Linked DNA regions of Arabidopsis thaliana. The protein of the gene in region 1 interacts with the protein of each later gene in a pairwise test. Each region holds a gene or a part of one and is shown on either strand. Other genes may lie near its edges.

Region 1 (7,430 bases):
ATTCTTGGAAGTGATTCGAGGAGCTTCAATGGCGGCACCGATCAAACTACTTCCGGTAATGTAAATTCCCCTAAACCATAAAGAGAGAGAGCAAAATAGTTTTCGTAAGCATGATGATTTCGCAAATCAATGGGGAGAAGAAGAAAAGGATTTATACCAGGCAGCACCAAGAACAGAGACGCCGATGGAGATGGCGATTCCGATGGCGGAGAAAGTGTACGGGGAGATTCTCACCAGAGCCGCGCCCCATGAACTCGCATGAATAGCCACACCGGACATTTTCTCTCTATCTCTTTGATATGAATGAATTTGATTTGTCTCTTTCTCTGTCTTTCGGAGGAGGAGATGATTAACAGAGCCTGTGCGATCTGAAATTGAGCAACTCCAAATCACGCGCTGATGAATGCGCGTGAATTCAATTACCATCGTATAGGCCTCGTAAGCGATACGAATAGCCCACTTTGATCGGACTATTGGGCCTTGTTCCTCATTTGAATATCCGGGACAATCTCGTTGTTCAGAGTTTCACGATAAAATAGTAACTGACGATGGCTCACTCAGCCTCATCACTAGACTGACTTTTCCAGCATCCGCAAACCGATAAGTGGCGATGTGGTCAAAGCCGACCCTCGAGTTTACTGCATATCTAACATACGTCATTCTGCAAGAACACAACATATTCGGTAAACGCAGGAATTGGAATAACTTTCTAGTTACAAAACAAATGAGACTGAAGCAGAATTATTATTATGCAAAAGTGACAAAAAAATATATCCTACCAAACAATAAATTATTGTATGCCGCCTCATGTTATAACTTACTCAAATTGCGAGAATTTAACAGAACAAAACCTCCAAACCCCAAACTATAAAATTGTAAGAAAAGACAAAACAAAAACAGAGAAATCAATCATTCGTCACCATCCTCATGTCCCCCAATTAGTTTCCCAAGCCATCCAAGTAGCTCTGTAAATCTTTTAAACCCTCCGCCGAGAAGCTTCTGTGAACTCTCAACCTCGGCGCTACCAAGTTCGGTGGTGGCTGTGGCTGAAGACACACAACCACTGCCGTCACATTATCAGCACTCTTCCTCTTCAAAGCTTCCTCAACCAGCTCCTTACTACACATGACCGGGTCATTGTGCTCCTGTAGTCTCCTTCTGGCAAAATCTACAGCATTCTGGCTCATGAACACATCCCAAACCCCGTCACACCCAATTATAAGGAACTCATCCTCTTCTGTTAGTTTTGTTGTCATGAGCTCAGGCTCTGCAATTAGAGGTCCACAATCAGAACCATCTTTCTTCTTCTTCATGCCTTCCATATGAAAGTCACCTAGCGCTCGAGCCACATTAAGTTGTCCATTTAGATAGCCATCGAATACATGTCCACCCGATGCTTCAATGCGTCTCCTTTCCTTACTGCTCATGGGTTTGTGGTCTCTTGACATTTCAATGGCTTTTCCCTGACGGGATAAGACTGCTCTGCAATCTCCAGCGTTTGCTACCACCAACGACCTGTTACCACAAAACTATATGTTAACACGGTACCAAACGGTTTCATACCAGAATACTAATAGAGTATGAAATGAGCAAGTATATACGTGACTCAAAGACCATATGAGACAATAACTACATTATAGCAGCAGCACATATGGGCAGAGAATACATCTACAGGCGAATTAGTTGTACATGATTGTGTTAAAGGTCAAGATTATGCACACTACGCAGTTGAGGATAAGCATCTATTCCCAAACACGTTTTTCTTTAACATAACCAAGATGTAAGAGTTTAGGTTAGACAAAACTAAAAGATAATAAGAGTTGAATCAACAAACCTTCCAAAAAGAATAGCTGCCAAAGCAGTAGTTCCTGAAGCAAGGCTCCCATCCAATGAACACGCCTCTAAGAAGGCAGTGTCTGTTTGAAGAAATGCTGAAGATAACACCTTATTGATTTCACTAGGAAACTCTTGATCTTCAACAATGTACCTCGGTATATGGTGACATGCAAACTCAGCGGCATGCTTCCCACCATGTCCATCAAATACCTAATAACAAACAAAATTCAATAAGAGATCCCCATATTTTCACTACATTCACAGTTGTTTGCTTATGCTACAAATCTACAAAAAATCAGGAAAACTGAAGAAAGAACATACCCCATAGAAGGCACTTGGACCAGCCTCAGAATTCAGAAGGCCAAAGCTATCCATGAAATTATCAACGCATAGATAAGCATCTTCCATGCTTGACCTGGAGCCAATATCAGACCAAGCTCCAGAACGCGTAGCAGGAACAAACTCAGACTTGTTCTTCTCTATAGTAAACTCATTCTCAACAGATATATCTGACACCATTGTCTTCACCTACCAAAATGAAAATCAATCAGAAAACCTCAAACATCTCATAATGACACATTAAAAACAGAAACTTTCTACCTTAATTATACACATTAGGAAACCAATAATGATCAAATCCAAAAGCAGAGCAATAATTACAAAACCTCAACTTAAATTGATCATTCAATACACAAAATAAACCTAACTGATCCACAAATCAAGTTGAAGAGAAACGAATCTTACGAGAGATGAGTGTCGAACCAGTGACCTCTTATTACACGGCGCCAACGATCGCTCGCCGTCGAAGGTTTGCCTGTAAACGGCAGCAGCGGCGGAGGAAGAAGAGAAGGAGAGTGGATTCGGCGGTTTACCGCCGTAACTCGAACTCCCATTCTCTGGATCAGAAATTCCTCTAGTTTCTTCCATATTGAAACATCATCGTATAAAAATTCAATAAGCAATTATGGAAACAGCTGACGAGTCAACTCACGAGTGAGCGAGTCGATTAAAAACGATTTAACGAAGAATGTAGCTTTAGATGAGAGATTCGTAAACAATGGATTCAGAATCGAAAACAAAATTGAAGAGATTGTTGAAAGGTTACACGAATTTCAGGGTTTAAGAGAAAATTAGGGTTTTGTGGAAGAAATTGGAACACGCAGAAAGAGAGAGATAATAAAACTGTTCGCCGGCGGAGGCGAGAAATATGAGTCCGACGGTTATTTAAAAGGCAAAAAGAAAAAGGAAAAAGGAAAAAGGAAGCTTAACATAAACACGAAACGTCGGCGTATTATTTACTTTTTCTCTTTGCTTTTTTTTTTCCTTTTTGTTTTTGAAGTGAGAGATTTTTTTTCTTATTAAAAAAGGGATATATTTACAGTTTATATGAGAAGTAAACATAGTATTTTGAAAAATAGCAAGAAAGGAAATCTGAAATTTTAGACTAATAGCAAAAAGATTTTGAGTTAAGTTGACAAAATTGAATTTTAGTAACTTGGGACCTTTTTTACATCTTTTTTATATAAAAAAAGTCGACACATGAGATATTACTTATAAAATTAAAAATACATTATTTTCATGAATATTTAATAGAGTTTATGAATTTCTCACATATGTTAATTATTAAGTGCTGAAAAATGTTTAATTGTTTTTCTGTATAAATGTTAAGTACTGAAAAATGCTTGGAATGTTTTTCTATATTTATATCTCTGCTATTTATATGTGTGATTTAGTGTTATTTAGGGCATTAAATATAAGATATTAAAATATTAAATTTTTCTATAATTTAAAAATAAGTAAATAAACATGTTGTAGACCGTAATTGCCAGATTATTTGTGCTGTTTCCTAAATACTTTTACATTCTTTGATGGTCACCAAATTAACTATAAGAAAAATTAGGACTCAGTCTCATTAATTTTTCGGAAGAGAAAAAGAATCAGTCTCATGGTAGTTGTTAGGAAATATTTGAATATTGTTTCGCCATTAGAAACTTTTTATGTGGATTTTTTTCCTGAAAACGATGGTTACTATTAATTAAACGGACCGACAAGAACCTTGTTGACGTGGTAACAAGTGATGACACATGCTAATTGGCCATCATTGTCAAATAATTTGTTCGCAAGGCGTGATACGTGTACGTTGTTATTCAGACGTAGCAAACAGATTCACGACTTTTGTTCAATTTGTCTTTGTATGGAGTATGGACCTAACATCTCCAACGGACCAATGCTATTGGGTCAAGTCCATCTTTTCTAGGTTAAGTTCATTCTTTGGGCTTTAGTTAAGTATAGAGAAAGAACATATTGGAAGAAAAATTTAGATGTGGTTTGTATTGCATGCGCATATGAAATGTAATAATTTGAGGATACATATATAGTAAGAAAAAATGAGTGACCCAAGTAAGAATGGGTTAGTAGTTATATATATGTTGGAGGTGAAAGGAATAAAATAAAATTTGTTCTAGGTGGATTCTTAAGAAAAAGAAGGAAACGAAAACAGAGGAATAACAATGGCAGGGAGAATAAGCTGCTGTCTAAATCTTCCTCCCCTAGATTCAAATTCTGCACAATCATTAGCTTCACTGCTCAAGACAACGTCAAAGATCTCTTGGTATCTCTTCTATTCATGAAAAGTTATTATTTACCTGATAATTTTTCATATCAATGATCTTTGTTCTTTTATTGTTTAGTAGGAGAACAGAAAATGAGACAGAGCCACGGAAAAACAAGTGTTCTTTTGTCTTGGGGGTGGCGGCAACTGTCGTAATCGGCGGGATTCAGATCAATGATGTTGCATCAGTGGAAGCTGCGGTTGTGAAATCGCCGGTAGAAGAGATGGCTGCGGGTGTGGTGCCGCCGCGGAGGTGGAGTGACAAGAGGACGTGTCCGCCTTGGCTTGAGAACTCGCTAGAGACCATCGTACCGGAGAATCTTCCTCGTCCGTCTGCTCATCGACGTTTGGAGTTAGCCGGATTAGCTAAGGGTGATGCACCGCCGGTCGGTGTGGTGATGACACGTGTCAACAGGGGTGGTTGTTTCTCCGTGTAAATTGGAAGTTCATTACGTGTAAGGGAGATTGTTAGGCAGGTGTAAAAAAAGTCAATTAGAAACAAATAATACACACAAAAACTATTGTAGATATATTAAATTTTAAGTATTTGTTTGTGTAGTTACTGATGACAAAACATTGAACCAAACTGGTCTTTAATTCATGCAAAATTTTCTTTGAGGATGCCATTTTTGATTTTTGGTTTAAATCGAACCGTATAAAAATAATTAACTCATTAAATTCATTGAGATCTTTATGTGCACGATTAGTTTTGGTCCGTCCTTTTTTTCTTTGTTTTGTAATCTTGTATCCTACCAAATTTTGGGAGTTTTCAGCTTTGTGTGTTAAAGTAGTACTCTATTGGATGTGAAATGAAAGAAAAGTAGTACATGCGTGTAGTACAAAAGAAAAACACTCCAAGTACTTCCTACTGAAATGAGTTGGCCTATTATCGATCCAAAGTGAAGCCCAACTCTATGTCACTCCAACGATTAGTTTGATTTCGGCCTCGTATTTCAAAGTTTAACTACAACTCTACAAATTTCACTTCCATGTCGGACCTTCAATAATTTAATTTCTTGATGCTCATGTTCTTTGCTTTTACAAGAATGGTGAGAGAATAAAGGGAGATTAGCCTTAGCGAGAGAGAAAAGACTCGTAGCATGAAGAGAAGAAGAAGAAAAAATTGGTTTTGCAATAAGAGACCTACGTTAACAAGAAAATGGACACAGCTTGATCATCTTATGCAAATCCACACTCACGATTTTCTAAAACTAGTTTGAAACTTACAGAAAACATTTTTTTTTGTAAATTTCTTAGATATTTCAAATAACTCTCTCGAGACATAAATCATAAAGACGATAACTAGTTAAGATCATTGTGAATAGTTTATAATGGATTTAACAAAAAAAAGAATAGTTTATAATGGAGTCTTGAGAGAGTTATTTGAATTATTTTGGGAATTTACAAAATTGTTGGATAAAAAAAGTAGTTACAAGAAAAAGGAAAATATTTACAAGTGTGTTTCTAATTTTTTCCTACTAGAAAGACAACTAGATAAGATCATTTCAATAGTCTTCTATTCACTAATTATGGACAAGTAAAAATTAAAAGATTTGTTACACCATCTCTATCTTACATTTCTCTATTTATAGATTCACATACCCAATGTAAAAACAAATCTCTTGCCTATATAACTCTAGACATAATTCATTATATTACAACAAACAAAGATTCAATAATCAAAAGAAAAATTTAGAATGACAAGTAAATATTTCTCCGTACTAGTGTTCATCATCTTGGCTTCCAATGAAGTTGTTGCCAAGAGACACTCTTCAACACCTAAATTAAGAAAAACTGATTTCCCAGAAGATTTCATTTTCGGAGCTGCAACCTCTGCGTACCAAGTTGAAGGAGCTGCTCAGGAAGATGGTAGAGGACCTAGTATATGGGATACGTTTTCTGAAAAATACCCAGAAAAGATAAAAGATGGTAGCAACGGATCTATTGCAGATGACTCTTACCATCTTTACAAGGAGGATGTGGGTTTATTGCATCAAATTGGGTTCAATGCCTATAGATTCTCCATCTCGTGGTCGCGTATTTTGCCTCGTGGGAATCTTAAAGGAGGAATCAACCAAGCTGGTATTGACTATTACAACAACTTGATCAATGAGCTTTTGTCTAAAGGAATTAAGCCTTTCGCAACCATTTTCCATTGGGACACACCACAAGACCTTGAAGATGCTTACGGAGGATTCCGTGGGGCAGAAATTGTTAATGATTTTCGCGACTATGCCGATATTTGTTTCAAGAGCTTTGGAGATCGAGTGAAACATTGGATTACATTGAACGAGCCATTAACAGTGGTGCAACAAGGATATGTTGCAGGTGTTATGGCTCCAGGAAGGTGTTCAAAATTTACAAACCCTAACTGCACCGCCGGGAATGGAGCCACCGAGCCTTATATCGTTGGTCACAACCTTATCCTAGCTCACGGAGAAGCAATCAAAGTCTATAGAAAAAAGTATAAGGCTTCTCAAAAAGGTCAAGTCGGTATAGCTTTGAATGCAGGTTGGAACTTACCTTATACAGAATCAGCTGAGGATAGGTTAGCCGCGGCACGAGCCATGGCTTTCACATTCGACTATTTCATGGAGCCGCTCGTGACCGGTAAATACCCGGTTGACATGGTTAACAACGTAAAAGGCGGTCGCTTGCCTACATTTACTTCAAAACAATCTAACATGCTTAAGGGATCATATGATTTCATTGGCATCAATTATTACTCGTCTTCTTATGCAAAAGATGTTCCTTGCTCAAGCGAAAACGTTACAATGTTCTCTGATCCTTGTGCTAGCGTCACAGGCGAAAGAGATGGAGTTCCCATTGGTCCAAAAGCTGCATCAGATTGACTTTTGATATATCCAAAGGGAATTCGTGATCTTATCCTCTATGCAAAATACAAGTTCAAAGACCCTGTCATGTACATAACAGAAAATGGGAGAGATGAAGCTAGCACTGGTAAAATCTTACTTAAAGATGG
Region 2 (6,691 bases), on another chromosome or scaffold:
AAGAACCACACTGTCTCTCATACCAAATAATTACATCTCATGCTCATGCTTAATTATGTTGCTTCCCCACATCCTATCATCATTACACCATTTTCTCAATCTCCGCCCAACTTTTTCAGCAAATACCCCATGTCTCCCCTTAAATTATTCCTAGTTTTATTCTGTTATACATTCTTATAATCTCACTTTTTTATCTGTGTTCAATTTTTAAGTGTCTATCTTTATGATCTTCATCAGGCTTTCATTAGTAGACATAACAATCGACATATTTCTTTTGGAGTGGGGCTAAAGGGTTCAGAGGCACTCGATCAAGATAAACATGAAGAACTACGAATGGTTGAAAATTACATCAAAATAAGTACCGTATCCTAATATAAATTGCTAGCTAATAAAAATTGTAAAGAGGTTAATATCGTTGTCTCAAAATCATATGTTTCATAAATATACCACATATACAAATCTACACATATAAAAAGGGTCATTTTGATACATTTATATTCCATTATCTGAAGTCCAATTGCAGTAACAAACTACAACAAATCGGATTTTAACATACTAAGGACTCGACCCATGAATGTGGTTGATTATTAAAATGTCACAATTATTAAATATATCATCTTGATCTTTAATCAATCTCAGGACTCAATGACCGATATTTCAAAATCCCAATATTGAATAACGATTAATTAACAAAATAAAAAAATCAATAACGCTTCATCCGGAGAACCATGACGACCAAAACCTTAATTTTTGGGCATGTTGAACTTTCACGTATCCAAAAATAGGTGAACACATGTCGTCACCCTCTTAGATATAGGATTTAGCAAAAACTAATGGCCACGATCTGTTAAGAGTCAAGCGATAAAAAGCAAAGCTCCTTTCGTTTTTTCAGAAATTTTGAACCCATTCAAGTCGGGGCGTTGCAGGATCCGATTTCTCGTTTTGTTCTTCGTTAAAATTCACCAGGTGATAACCAAATACCCTTGTTTCTTGGTAACAATTTCGATTTTCTTGCATGGAAAAATGTCAAGAAAAATAGATTTTAGATAAATCAACTTGAATATGTAAGGCCATTTTCATTTAAAATGGCTTGTTGAATGAAAATTTCATGGGAACCGTTACATTATTTGCATATTACAATTGTTTGTTACCGGTCTTGATTCATATTCATATATAGATTGAAGAATGGCGGACGGTGAAGACATTCAACCGCTTGTTTGTGACAATGGAACTGGAATGGTTAAGGTAAAGTTTCTCTCTAAGACTCTTATTGCTATGTCACATATATATAAGGCTATGCCATAAACGACTACTCAAAAATATATCCCGTGCTTAGGCCGGATTCGCGGGTGACGATGCACCAAGAGCGGTTTTTCCGAGCATTGTAGGCCGTCCTCGCCACACGGGTGTGATGGTAGGGATGGGACAAAAGGATGCTTATGTTGGAGACGAGGCTCAATCAAAACGTGGTATCTTGACTCTGAAGTACCCAATTGAGCATGGAATTGTTAATAATTGGGATGACATGGAGAAGATTTGGCATCACACTTTCTACAATGAGCTTCGTGTTGCCCCTGAAGAACATCCGGTTCTCTTGACCGAAGCTCCTCTCAATCCGAAAGCTAACCGTGAGAAGATGACTCAGATCATGTTTGAGACATTCAATACTCCTGCTATGTATGTTGCCATTCAAGCTGTTCTCTCACTCTATGCCAGTGGCCGTACAACTGGTCAGTAACACACTTATATTTGTGTTGATCCAATCTATAACCAGTTTTTTTTCATGCTTGATTTTAAATAATATGAACTATTTTAAGGACTATTTGGTTATGCTTTTATGGACAACCCTAATTGGTTCTTTTGCAAATTATTGATTAGGTATTGTTTTGGACTCTGGAGATGGTGTGAGCCACACGGTACCAATCTACGAGGGTTACGCTCTCCCACACGCAATCCTACGTCTTGACCTAGCAGGTCGTGACCTCACGGACCACCTCATGAAAATCCTCACAGAGCGTGGATACTCCTTCACCACAACTGCTGAACGTGAAATTGTTAGAGACATGAAAGAGAAGCTCTCTTACATTGCTCTAGACTTCGAGCAAGAGCTAGAGACTTCCAAAACAAGCTCGTCCGTTGAGAAAAGCTTCGAGCTTCCTGATGGACAAGTGATAACCATTGGAGCAGAGAGGTTCCGGTGTCCGGAAGTTCTGTTCCAGCCGTCAATGATCGGAATGGAAAATCCAGGAATCCATGAAACCACATATAACTCTATCATGAAATGTGATGTGGATATTAGGAAAGACTTGTATGGTAACATTGTGCTAAGTGGTGGAACCACAATGTTTGGAGGGATTGGTGATAGAATGAGCAAAGAGATTACGGCTTTGGCTCCAAGTAGTATGAAGATTAAGGTCGTGGCTCCACCGGAGAGGAAGTACAGTGTATGGATCGGTGGCTCTATATTGGCTTCACTCAGCACTTTCCAGCAGGTGAACACATTAATATACATTTTTATTATTATTTGATCATGTATAATATAACATTCATAAGTTTGTTTTGATATAAATATTGGTATGTGTTTGAAAACTTGACAGATGTGGATTGCGAAAGCAGAGTACGATGAATCTGGACCCTCAATAGTGCATAGGAAATGCTTCTAATCACAGTTCCTAAGATCACCAAACGAAGACGGAAGTAAAAGTAAAAGACAGAAGGTTAAAAACATTGAGATTACTACCAAATGCCACATTTTTCCATTATATTTTCTAATCTCTCTTTTATCCTTTTTTTTTTGAATAGCCTCTCTATGTTAATTTTTCAACTAAGCATACTTTTCTTTAAACAATTTCCACTCCCAATGTACTATATATAAGCGACTAATTTCAATTATTATATTTTCTATTTTAAACTTAATTTATTTGTTACTCAAAAGAGATTTTGTGATGGTTAAACAATTGTGACTAATATACTTCAAAGACATCCGTATCAAACACAAAACAAGCTCCATAATGTTGATCTAGTACAAACAATTGTGACATATAAATGCATATTGTCGAAACTCACTAAATCTTAGATTACTCGGTTAAATGGATGTGGTCTAATAAGTGTCAATAAACACAACACAAAATGTTAAACTGATGGATTAGTGATGAGAAGATGAGTTTAAATGTTTCATTTAGTAATAAAACGTGTTTATTATGTTTGTTGGTAAAGAAAAGAAGAAACGAATTGTTGATGGTTAACTAAATTTTAATTTCTTATTCGATCTCGGTTTAACCGAACCGAATCGTAAACCCAGAAACAGAAGCTGCGACGGAGAATCCATTTCTCGAGATCGTCGCCGTTAAAATCTGCGATCTCATTGCTCATTGGTGAAGACAAATCCCTAATTCGTATGTCAGATTCTGTGGCCGGCGATTTCCCTCCCGATCCACTTCTCGCCTCCGGAGCCTTCATCTCCTCCGCCGGTGACGGAACCCTAGACAGTAGTGCGAAACGACGACCGATTCAGGGAGGAATCGGAATTTCTGGTTCGGGAGAGAGCGTACGCATCGGGATGGCTAACGGCACTGATCAGGTGAATCATCAGACGGAATCGAAGTCGCGGAAGCGTGCGGCGCCTGGAGATAATTGGTTGCCTCCTGGTTGGAGAGTTGAAGATAAGATTCGAACTTCCGGTGCCACAGCTGGTTCGGTGGATAAGGTAAAGAATCTCAGCTTGACTCTGCTTTTCTCTATGAAGTTTTGAGCTGCGTTGTTGCTTGAAGACTACAAATTGAGGATTCTTTGATTGCTGTTGTTTTGTTCTCTTTGGTTTAAAAATCTTGCCTTTAAAGTAGTGACAAGTGTAATGATGTAGTAAAATGATGTGGTTGGTTCTGCTTAAGCATTAATGAGTTTGTTTAGATTATGTTAATGGTGTATTGGGACTTGAATCATACACTTTATCAGTGTGATTAGTGTTACTTTGATTTATCAGGTGGATTTAGATGGTTTGGTTTGGTATATATTGTGATTGAAGAGATGAAGTTTTGGTGTTGTTATACTCGATGCTAATATGGGTGTAGATATTGATGTGTAGACTTGTGACATTTTCTTATCTGGTTTTGCAGTACTATTACGAACCAAATACAGGACGTAAGTTTCGGTCCAGGACTGAGGTGCTGTACTACTTGGAACATGGAACTTCTAAAAGAGGCACCAAGAAAGCTGAGAATACATATTTCAATCCAGACGTGAGTTTACATGCTTAAAGATTAAACCTTTCACCCTGGTTTCAAACCTGTGATGTGTATTGAATTTTGCATTTGCAGCATTTTGAAGGCCAAGGAAGCAATAGAGTCACCAGAACCGCTACAGTGCCTCCACCTCCGCCACCGCCATTGGACTTTGATTTTAAGAATCCACCAGACAAGGTAAGCTGGTCTATGGCAAACGCAGGAGAAGAAGGTTGGATACCTAATATTGGGGACGTCAAGGTTCAAGACTCAGTGAGACGAGATTGGAGCACTGCGTTTACCTTTATCACAAGCCGAAACCCTAGTAAAGTGTCGGCTTGAAGACTATGATGACCTGGTGGCGATTTTTGGGTTGTTGCATCTATGGTAAGATACACAGATATGTTAGGGTTACTTAATTGGATAATTCTTGTTTAGTCTTCATTCATCAATCATCAAGTTATGTGTACTATAATTTTTGTAGCGGTTTTTGGAAGAATATGATAAGGGGATATGCATCTTTGTGTTTGCTTTTGGAACGTGATAACCATTCGACTTTTGACTGATGAAATTGAAGACACTGTCGTAGTAACAAAGCTATTCTTCTTAGACATTTTGATACTGAACTATTCTGTGTTCCAAAGTCTTTTACTTTGTGTTTAGGAAAAGATCTTGTTCTTTGTGAAACCAGTGTCGTAATTCAAGAACTAATGCTTGACATGTCTCACCTGCTCAGGTTATCTAAATCTAATGGATAAGAAGAAACATCAACAATACTGCACTGATACAAGACAAGAAGCGTCTGTAGTCCAACGGTTAGGATAATTGCCTTCCAAGCAATAGACCCGGGTTCGACTCCCGGCAGACGCAATTATATTTTTCCCAAACATAATTTTAGATTTTGTTAACCAAACAATTTGTGGGGTTCGAATGTAACTGGTTGTAGCACATTTAATATCTGCAATAAATTATCAAAAAGGCCATTGGAACTCTCCCAACCCATCGTCTAATTTAGTAATTTTTGGTCTTGTAACCTTCTAGGTGTACCAGAGGCTTCCTTATTAGTCTTGTATCCCAAGCTTTTGAAAAAAAGTGAAACGAAAAGGTTTTAAGTTTTGTTGGCTTTTGACTATCATTTCCCCTCTCTGTTTATTAAAATTTACAGTATTGCCACTGAGTTTGCTGCGACGGTCTGTCTCTTCAAAAAGCAATTTTGGGGAGGAAGAGAAAACCTTAAGAGTCAAACGGAAAAAAAACACACACTATTTTTGTGATTCACCAAGCAGAAGAAAATTGAGAAAAAAAAAAGGTCTCTGCTTTTTATTTTCCATGGCTTAGACTCTCATTTTTATTGGGAATTTGGATGGTCTAAAGTCAGGATTTGCTTTATTTTGCTTGCAAGGTTTTGTAAAAGAACACTTTTTCTCGGTTCTTCATCCGTACACGTAACAAATCCATTTCTTATGTGTTTTTTCGATTTCTAGAATCTGTAAAACCCACAAAAAAGAGGTTTTTTTTTTTGTTTCTGGGTTCTTTGAAGAAGCAGAGAGAAGATAAGCTCTTTACAGTTTTCTTCATAACAAGTGATTTCCTTTTGTTTTCTTATTCGATTTCCAGTTTCTATATGTTACATAAATTTGATTTTTAACTCTGAATCATATACATTACTCAAAACCTTAAAAAGGTTTCTTTTTTGTTTGTCTAGGTTGTTCAAAACTTGATCTTTCAGTAGCTAAATATATGGATCCTCTATAATCTCATTTGTAAAGCTCTTTTATTGCAGCTTTAAGATGGAGAAAAATCAACAAAAGCAGGAATTTCTAGCTGAGACCTCAGAGATGAAGAACACCAAAAACAACGACGACTGTTCTGTACAACAACAACAACGATTTGTGTGGCCATGGGTTGGTCTAGTAGCCAACATACCAACGGAGGTGGAACCATCGGGTCGGAGAGTAGGCAAAAGCGGTTCAACGTTACGTGATGAGTTCACTATGAAAGGGTTTAATCCAACAAGAGTCCAACCCATTTGGGATTTCAAGGGTCATTCTGGTTTTGCTTTGGTTGAATTCGCTAAAGACTTTGAAGGATTCGAAAGCGCCATGAATTTCGAAAGGAGTTTTAATTTAGACCGTCATGGGAAGAGAGATTGGGAAAAAGGTAAAACATTGTTTCAGAGTTTTTAAAGTCATTTGCTTTCTTGACATTGATGAGTTCACTTTCTTTGTAAAAGGTCATCGCTTGAGAGACAATAAGCTCTATGGATGGGTTGCCAGAGAGGATGATTATAATCGAAGTGATACTGTTGGGAAGAACGTCAAGAAGAAGAGAGATTTGAAAAGTATCTCTCAGATTGTGGAGGAAGACGAGAGGAAAATGGTTCATCTTGTTGAGAATATGTCTCAAACCATTGAGAAGAAGAAGCAAAGTAAACAAGAGCTTGAACAGAAAGTTGATGAGACTTCTCGTTT
Region 3 (7,541 bases), 8.4 Mb from region 1:
GAATATCAAGTCCCATATCATAACAGAAGCGTATGTTTGTATAATTTATTCTGCATTCTTTCTTTTAAATTATCAATCAAAGATCTTGTTAATTATGGTACAGGGGAAAGACAAGTAACCTAGCCAAAACTAAGAGAAAGCATGCCGAAACAAGATTACAAGGTACATCAACACATTATATCTTAATAGTTAATACTGTACTCGAATTCACAGTCATGAACATTAAGAAAGCTTAGAAGTTCAAATATACTATCTTTGCAGTTTAATCCTGATTCAAGGTAGTAGATCGGAAATTTGATATCAAGTATTACTCTTTAGATTGCATTTAGTCTTGAAGTACTCACCATCTTGCTTCATTCTTGTGCTTTCATGTCTCTTTGATTAGACACACACACACACCTAACTATACTTTCGGCTCTAACATAGACATGAAACTTGCATTTAACATAGTTATATCAAGACAAAGCTAAATGCTCAATTCATTCCTATGTGGAGAATAATAAAAAATTGAGCTGTGTATTGTTGTGGAACATGAGAGTCTGGAAATGTCTCCATATTTCCACTCATTGAATAAAAATATGCAAGATCCGTTCTGATCTATTGTGTTCACTGATAATATCTAATCGTCTAACAGAGCAAGAAGAGAAAATGAGAATGATCCATGAAAAGTTCAAGGACGATGTCAGCCATCATCTTGAAGATTTTAAGAGTACTATCGAAGAGCTTGAAGCAAACCAGTCAGAGCTGAAAGGAAGCATAAAGAAGCAAAGTATGTTAACTTCTGTAATTCCTGCTTTTACTACAACGAATTCTAACACTAGAAATACTTGAAACATATGATGTTATCAAAGTTAGATTCTTCATGGCAAGATAGTTTTAATATAATAATAGCAGGAGGACAAGTATTTCCTAAACTCACTTGATAACTTTTTATCTCTCTATGACAGGAACATCACACCAAAAACTCATTGCACATTTTGAAGGAGGCATCGAGACAAAACTGGACGATGCGACCAAAAGAATCGATTCTGTAAACAAGGCAAGTCATTGTTCTGCTTCTTAAGAGTCAGATTCTAAAAATGGTTAAATCATGAATTCAAAAGCACAACTTAAAAATGACGTATTGGTTTACAGTCTGCGAGAGGAAAGATGCTGCAGCTGAAGATGATTGTCGCAGAATGTTTGAGGGATGATTGACACTGAGTCTCACAGAATCAATCAACCACACGTACGTCGTTATTCTCCATTTTAAAACATAAACTAGACGAACTGTGTTAACCAGGAAAGAAAAACCTCTCAAGCAAAACCAGCCTTTGGTTTAGTGGTCTCATGAGTTCAGGCGAATAAAGAAGATATAGTAGATGATGCTTTGACTCATTGTCATTGATTCGTATTCGTATAGAATAGTTTATTGTTCACTGAACCACTACAAAACTACTTATATCATAGAGCCTTATTTTATATAGCAGTTTGAAGGTTTCTTTTTAATTTATTTTTGCCAGCAACTGCAGATATTTTTTATTAAACCAACAACTTTTAATTAGGTTATTGATATCTTGATATATATCGAAGCAAAACCAATCCAAACATTTTTCTTTTAAAAACCAGAATATTTTGCAGACGTTGATGTGAATTTTAATTACAATATTTTACTTTAACAGAGATGTATTTCATATTGAATATCAAAACCAAACTGAACAAAGAATGGTCACAATTCGATATCAATCGAATGAAACAGAAAATAAAATGTTGGACCCAACAATTTTACTGTGATGATAAAAACATGGTAGAGATAATTTTGTTTGTAAATAGAGAGATCTCAAATCACAGAGGATTCTTTTTTTACGGTCGGTAAAAGAATTTAGAATGTGTCGAGAGGGTAAAAATGGAGAAGACGACAAGATAGTAGCAGTCGTTAGAAACAAACAAGAAAGAAGGGAGGGAGACAAAATAACACAAAGGGGTGGATGAATCACGCGGCATTCACGTGAAGTGCACGTGAACTTGGCCAAAAAAAGCCTAATTGTGGGTCCCATTTAAAGAGAAAACTAAAGCCTTTAAGAAAGGGCCCATCCATATATGTCTTAATAATGGCGTGAAGGTTCTTTCCGCTCACGTGGGCCTTTTGTGCCCGTCTCTCTCGCATGTCACTCACTACAGTTTTACTAGTGTTTTGTTTTATTTTTGATAACAACATTATTGATTTTTTTTCGGTCTACCTAAGTTTTGACCTTTCTTTTTTAATTGTGAACAATTGAACATGCGTATTACTTATTGATAATACTTTTATCTTCAATAAAAAAAATAACACACGAACATAATATAGAAATAGTGTGTTCCAATACTGGAGATTATTTAGTAAGTTCAGTTGGACGCTTTGTCATTGCATAGTTTGGAATTTATTCCTAAACTTTCTAAGAACACGTTCTTATAGGAATTTGCATGACGAAAAAATCAATACTAGTTGCATTATTGTTGGAGCATCATCGGGAGTGATTTTTTTTGTGTTTTCCTATTTACTACATTGTGTTTTCCTGACCTTTTAAATAAAAAGGAAATACACAAAACCATATATAAATATATGTATATATATATCTGACTGTGCTCAAGTAAAATTCACGGATCAGACGTTAAAAAAATGATCATGCTTAATATTTTCTCATTTTAGATGAAGACAAAAAAAAAAAAAAGGAATTGCAATCGTAGATTTGACTTTATTTTTATTTAATTTTTCTATTCTTTTTCCGAAAGCAGAGAAAAATGGAGCGGTGGAGAGTAGAGAAGTCGGTCATAAGAATGTCTCTCTCTCTATTTCTTTGTCTTTCACTATCGCCCATACATTATCTTGCTTCTTTCATTTATTCCATCAATATTTTTGTTTTAAAATGAAAGATTTACACATTAACATGAATACTTATACTACTCTTTATCGCGTATATATAGTATAGTCTATGTTATTATGAATTTATGATTATATTTTTTCTATAAAACGTGCGAAAACTCATTTCACATATACAAACAAATATATACGTTTTGTATTAAAAAAAAGCAACTGTAAATTTTATAAATCTGAAATGTAACATTTGAAGTCGACCAAAGTTTGTAAGGTAATAATTTGTACTAATTCTCCATACTGTGTCATAATCACGATTCAAGGATAAATATATGAGTTGTGGACCAAAACAAATCCTCCATATCAATCAATCATAAATGAAATAAGCGAATATACATATATACAACCGACTATATATATATATATATGCTGCTCTTCATTAACCCCAAGAAAGAAAACCAAAGTGTGAAGTCCGAATCTCTCTGATTCTACAATTCACAAAAACCGGAAAAAAAAAAAGACAAGTAAAGAAAGCTTTGTTCAGTTTACTTCAATGGAAGCAAAACCCTTAGCATCATCATCATCTGAACCAAACATGATTTCTCCATCATCAAACATTAAACCAAAGTAAGTTTATTATGGTTTCATCTACACTTTTTGCGACTTCTATAAACATATACACATGCGTGGTTTTGAAATAATGGGCGCTTATGGTTCTGTCGGTGCTTGAAACAATTTTGTCTTCTCCTGACTATTTTTTTTTTGTTAATAGGTTATTTATACGTGACTCTTTTCTTGCAGATTAAAAGATGAAGATTATATGGAGCTGGTGTGTGAAAATGGGCAGATTCTTGCAAAGATTCGAAGACCAAAGAACAACGGTTCTTTTCAAAAGCAACGTAGGCAATCTCTCCTGGATTTGTATGAGACCGAGTACAGCGAGGGTTTCAAGAAAAACATCAAGATTCTTGGAGACACACAAGTTGTTCCGGTGAGTCAGTCTAAGCCACAACAAGATAAAGAAACCAATGAACAAATGAACAACAATAAGAAGAAGCTAAAGTCCTCCAAAATCGAATTTGAGAGAAATGTTTCGAAAAGCAACAAATGTGTTGAATCATCAACATTAATTGATGTTTCTGCTAAAGGTCCAAAGAATGTTGAAGTTACTACAGCTCCTCCTGATGAGCAATCTGCAGCTGTTGGTAGATCCACGGAATTGTATTTTGCTTCTTCATCGAAGTTTTCTCGAGGAACTTCGAGAGATCTAAGTTGTTGTTCTTTAAAGAGGAAGTATGGAGATATTGAAGAAGAAGAATCAACCTATTTAAGTAATGTAAGAGAAATTAATTAGCTGCTTGTCTTAGTTCTTTCACATGGTAGATCATTAATTGTCTTTTTCTTATTGCTTATGCAGAATTCAGATGATGAATCAGATGATGCGAAGACACAAGTTCATGCGAGAACAAGAAAGCCGGTGACTAAAAGAAAACGAAGCACAGAAGTCCATAAGTTATATGAAAGAGTGAGTTTATATGTATGAAAATTTCACCTTAGTTAGTAGAAAAAAAATAATGTATGAAAATTAATGCTAATTAAGGATTTGTTAACAGAAACGAAGAGATGAATTCAACAAGAAAATGCGTGCTTTGCAGGACCTACTACCAAATTGTTACAAGGTTTGAGATTAACTTAAATCACATTACATTGTTTACTTAGTCTTAGAGAGTTAATTAATTTTCTCTTTGTGGAGATTTCTGAATATCTGTAATTGTTGATGATAGGATGATAAGGCTTCATTGTTGGATGAGGCTATCAAATATATGCGGACCCTTCAACTTCAAGTTCAGGTATTCAAAATAATACACCAATTCAATAAAATTTCATTGAGAGATAATAAAATGATTCAGGTGTTAATTATTTAAACACAGACTTGTGTTTATATTTACATATAAATTTGTTTTTTAACATTAAAATATACTTTGTAAAGTGTTTTTGTTATCAAATATTATTGCGTTTGGCTTTTACCTTTACGAATGATTCTTGATAAAGTCACTAGAAACTAGTTTCATAAGAGAAACCAAAACAAATTATAAACGTAATTAAACACTAATCAATAAACAATCAAAAGTTTATTCCTTATTTATTTTACTACAAATTTTTTTACATATATATAAGATTCTTAATTAACATGCTCTAATAATTATTTACAGATGATGAGTATGGGAAATGGATTAATAAGACCACCTACGATGTTGCCAATGGGTCATTACTCTCCCATGGGTCTAGGAATGCATATGGGTGCAGCAGCAACACCAACATCAATACCGCAATTCCTGCCTATGAATGTTCAAGCAACCGGTTTTCCGGGGATGAACAATGCACCACCACAAATGCTAAGCTTTCTTAATCACCCAAGTGGACTAATTCCAAACACTCCTATCTTTTCTCCATTGGAAAATTGCTCTCAGCCATTCGTGGTGCCTTCGTGTGTTTCTCAGACTCAGGCTACTTCTTTTACTCAATTCCCAAAGTCTGCGTCCGCCTCAAACTTAGAAGATGCAATGCAATATAGAGGAAGCAACGGTTTTAGTTATTATCGCTCGCCAAACTAATGATTTGTAGAAAGTTGATGTTTTCTCCAACTAACTAACTTTAAGCAAAAAAAAATGATCGTCTACTCTGTGTTGTTAGTCTATGGGCTTTTGGGCCTTGATTCTTGGAACGATTTGAACTTAATTCCAACTATTTTCAAAGTGGATGTACAAAGTAAAATATAACAAATATAAGTTATCATAGACTCTATAACAAAGTTATAAGTAGAGGACGTGCAATTGCATAATGATGGATGATGATGAGTGTTCAATTACGATAAACCGATTTTAACGCAAACCCAACTAAGATGAAGACAACTCATTTGACCTAAATCGTAATTTGAAACGAATTTTGCCATGTTTTTGGGATTAAGGAACAATCTCAATGATGAGATTGAGTAAAGTACTACAAAACTTGGGCTTGATGGGCTTTTTAGTGGACTAATATCTACTTTATTCTTTCTTTTTTCAAACATTAAAAAATTAATTGGGCTTTTTCAAACACGAAAACAAGGGAGTGCAATAGTGTGATGAAGATGAGACTCACACATTGAATTTCTGATATTTTAGCGTCAGGTGCGTTGAAAACTTGAAATCAATGTGAAGATTCTCTTTTAAAAATAGATGACTCTTATTTCATGAGTTAACATGATACTTAAAGAAAGTGGATAGTTAAGTCTAAACCAATTCTTTTAGTATAGAAATAAAATTTCAACCACTTCCTTTAAATATGAAACCATGCAAAAGTAGATAACAAACGAAAAAGTGTTTCATTTTAAGATTCGATGTCACGATCCATCACATTGCACCGTTGGTTGATAAATATCTCTCATCTTTGTTTATTTATTTTCACAATGTTGTACTTCTATTTCTATAACATTTTCGTTTGAATTCAAATACCAAATTAACTCTCCAAACAATTAGTTCATCAAGTATTTTGTTCACAATGATATGTTAACAACAAATCATTGATTCATTGTCCATGCCGGATTATTTTAAAGATACAGAAACAGTAAACCTAAGATACAATGAATGCTAAAACTAAATTATTCTCCCAAAAGGATTACTTAGCTTTCATGAGTAATTTTATATTTTTCTTTTATCCACTCATTTTTTATATACTTTCTATAATTGTCTTATTACGTAACAAATATGTGCTATAGGCATATTTAGAATCTACTCTATCATCATACCATATATAAGACACATTTTACTTTATTAATTACTTTTTGTTTGTTCTCAAATTGAAAATAAACAGACGTGTTTGTGCTAACTTCATGTAGTGTTTAGATAGTGTTTCATTCACTGGCCATAGACTTATTTTACAAAGTTATATGTGCATGTCATTATATAGTGTAGAACTTAAAACACCTAACCAAGAACAACAATACACACACACAAACATAAGGAAAAAAAAACTTTTCCATGGGGCTCGTAATTTTCTTGGCACTAATTGTCTTAATCCTTATTATTGGTCTCAGGATATTCAAAGCTTTTATGATTCTTGTTTGGCATCCATTTGTGTTGACCAGAAGACTCAAAAACCAAGGAATCTCAGGCCCAAATTACAGAATCTTTTACGGAAACCTCAGCGAGATAAAGAAGATGAAGAGAGAATCTCATCTTTCGATTCTTGATCCTAGCTCCAATGATATTTTCCCTCGTATTCTTCCTCATTATCAAAAATGGATGTCTCAATACGGTGTCGTTTTCTCCAACTCTCTCTTTGTTCATCTTTTATTTTAGATTTTATTCGAGGATAATGCGTAACACACAAGTTATCTATGTTATATATTATTAGGAGAGACTTTTCTTTACTGGAACGGAACAGAGCCAAGGATATGCATCTCAGATCCTGAACTTGCAAAAACTATGTTGTCGAACAAGTTAGGTTTCTTTGTCAAATCAAAGGCAAGACCTGAGGCTGTTAAACTTGTCGGCTCCAAAGGACTTGTCTTTATCGAAGGTGCTGATTGGGTTCGCCATAGAAGAATCTTGAACCCTGCTTTCTCCATCGATAGGCTCAAGGTATTTTAATCCTTCTTTCTTAGCTTGACTTGAGAAATTAAACATTAGAGCCGAATAACTTAATTTTGGTTGTAAATTTCTCATTT

The links. Proteins that work in one complex are often made in the same cells at the same time.
Region 2: the proteins of DBP1 (region 1) and MBD6 interact in a two-hybrid assay, tested with the Arabidopsis thaliana proteins (one large-scale study listed by BioGRID).
Region 3: the proteins of DBP1 (region 1) and PIL1 interact in a two-hybrid assay, tested with the Arabidopsis thaliana proteins (one large-scale study listed by BioGRID).

What each region holds. Positions count from the first base shown.
Region 1 is NC_003071.7:10,902,216-10,909,645, forward strand, and holds DBP1 (DNA-binding protein phosphatase 1), read right to left. Parts: upstream 3,053-7,430; 5' UTR 2,764-3,052; coding exon 2,581-2,763; intron 2,365-2,580; coding exon 2,158-2,364; intron 2,047-2,157; coding exon 1,835-2,046; intron 1,516-1,834; coding exon 939-1,515; 3' UTR 780-938; exon of another isoform or gene 662-779; 3' UTR 501-661; downstream 1-500. Other genes in the region: AT2G25610 (ATPase, F0/V0 complex, subunit C protein), read right to left, coding at 1-70, 158-426; AT2G25625 (histone deacetylase-like protein), read left to right, coding at 4,347-4,447, 4,527-4,884; BGLU14 (beta glucosidase 14), read left to right, coding at 6,145-7,266, 7,318-7,430.
Region 2 is NC_003076.8:23,948,924-23,955,614, forward strand, and holds MBD6 (methyl-CPG-binding domain 6), read left to right. Parts: upstream 1-3,208; 5' UTR 3,209-3,397; coding exon 3,398-3,706; intron 3,707-4,115; coding exon 4,116-4,238; intron 4,239-4,316; coding exon 4,317-4,562; 3' UTR 4,563-4,784; downstream 4,785-6,691. Other genes in the region: ACT4 (actin 4), read left to right, coding at 1,186-1,245, 1,337-1,730, 1,879-2,492, 2,598-2,663; AT5G59390 (XH/XS domain-containing protein), read left to right, coding at 6,011-6,380, 6,454-6,691. UniProt on the Arabidopsis thaliana protein: Transcriptional regulator that binds CpG, CpNpN and CpNpG (N is A, T, or C) islands in promoters regardless the DNA methylation status. Plays probably a role in gene silencing. May associate with histone deacetylase proteins (HDAC).
Region 3 is NC_003071.7:19,293,524-19,301,064, reverse strand, and holds PIL1 (phytochrome interacting factor 3-like 1), read left to right. Parts: upstream 1-3,206; 5' UTR 3,207-3,386; coding exon 3,387-3,460; intron 3,461-3,527; exon of another isoform or gene 3,528-3,543; coding exon of another isoform or gene 3,544-3,551; exon of another isoform or gene 3,552-3,634; coding exon 3,635-4,169; intron 4,170-4,250; coding exon 4,251-4,358; intron 4,359-4,446; coding exon 4,447-4,512; intron 4,513-4,617; coding exon 4,618-4,683; intron 4,684-5,046; coding exon 5,047-5,448; 3' UTR 5,449-5,634; downstream 5,635-7,541. Other genes in the region: ASY3 (asynaptic protein), read left to right, coding at 1-30, 104-162, 635-769, 948-1,039, 1,135-1,197; CYP709B1 (cytochrome P450, family 709, subfamily B, polypeptide 1), read left to right, coding at 6,853-7,129, 7,229-7,455. UniProt on the Arabidopsis thaliana protein: Transcription factor. Involved in responses to transient and long-term shade. Required for the light-mediated inhibition of hypocotyl elongation. Necessary for rapid light-induced expression of the photomorphogenesis- and circadian-related gene APRR9.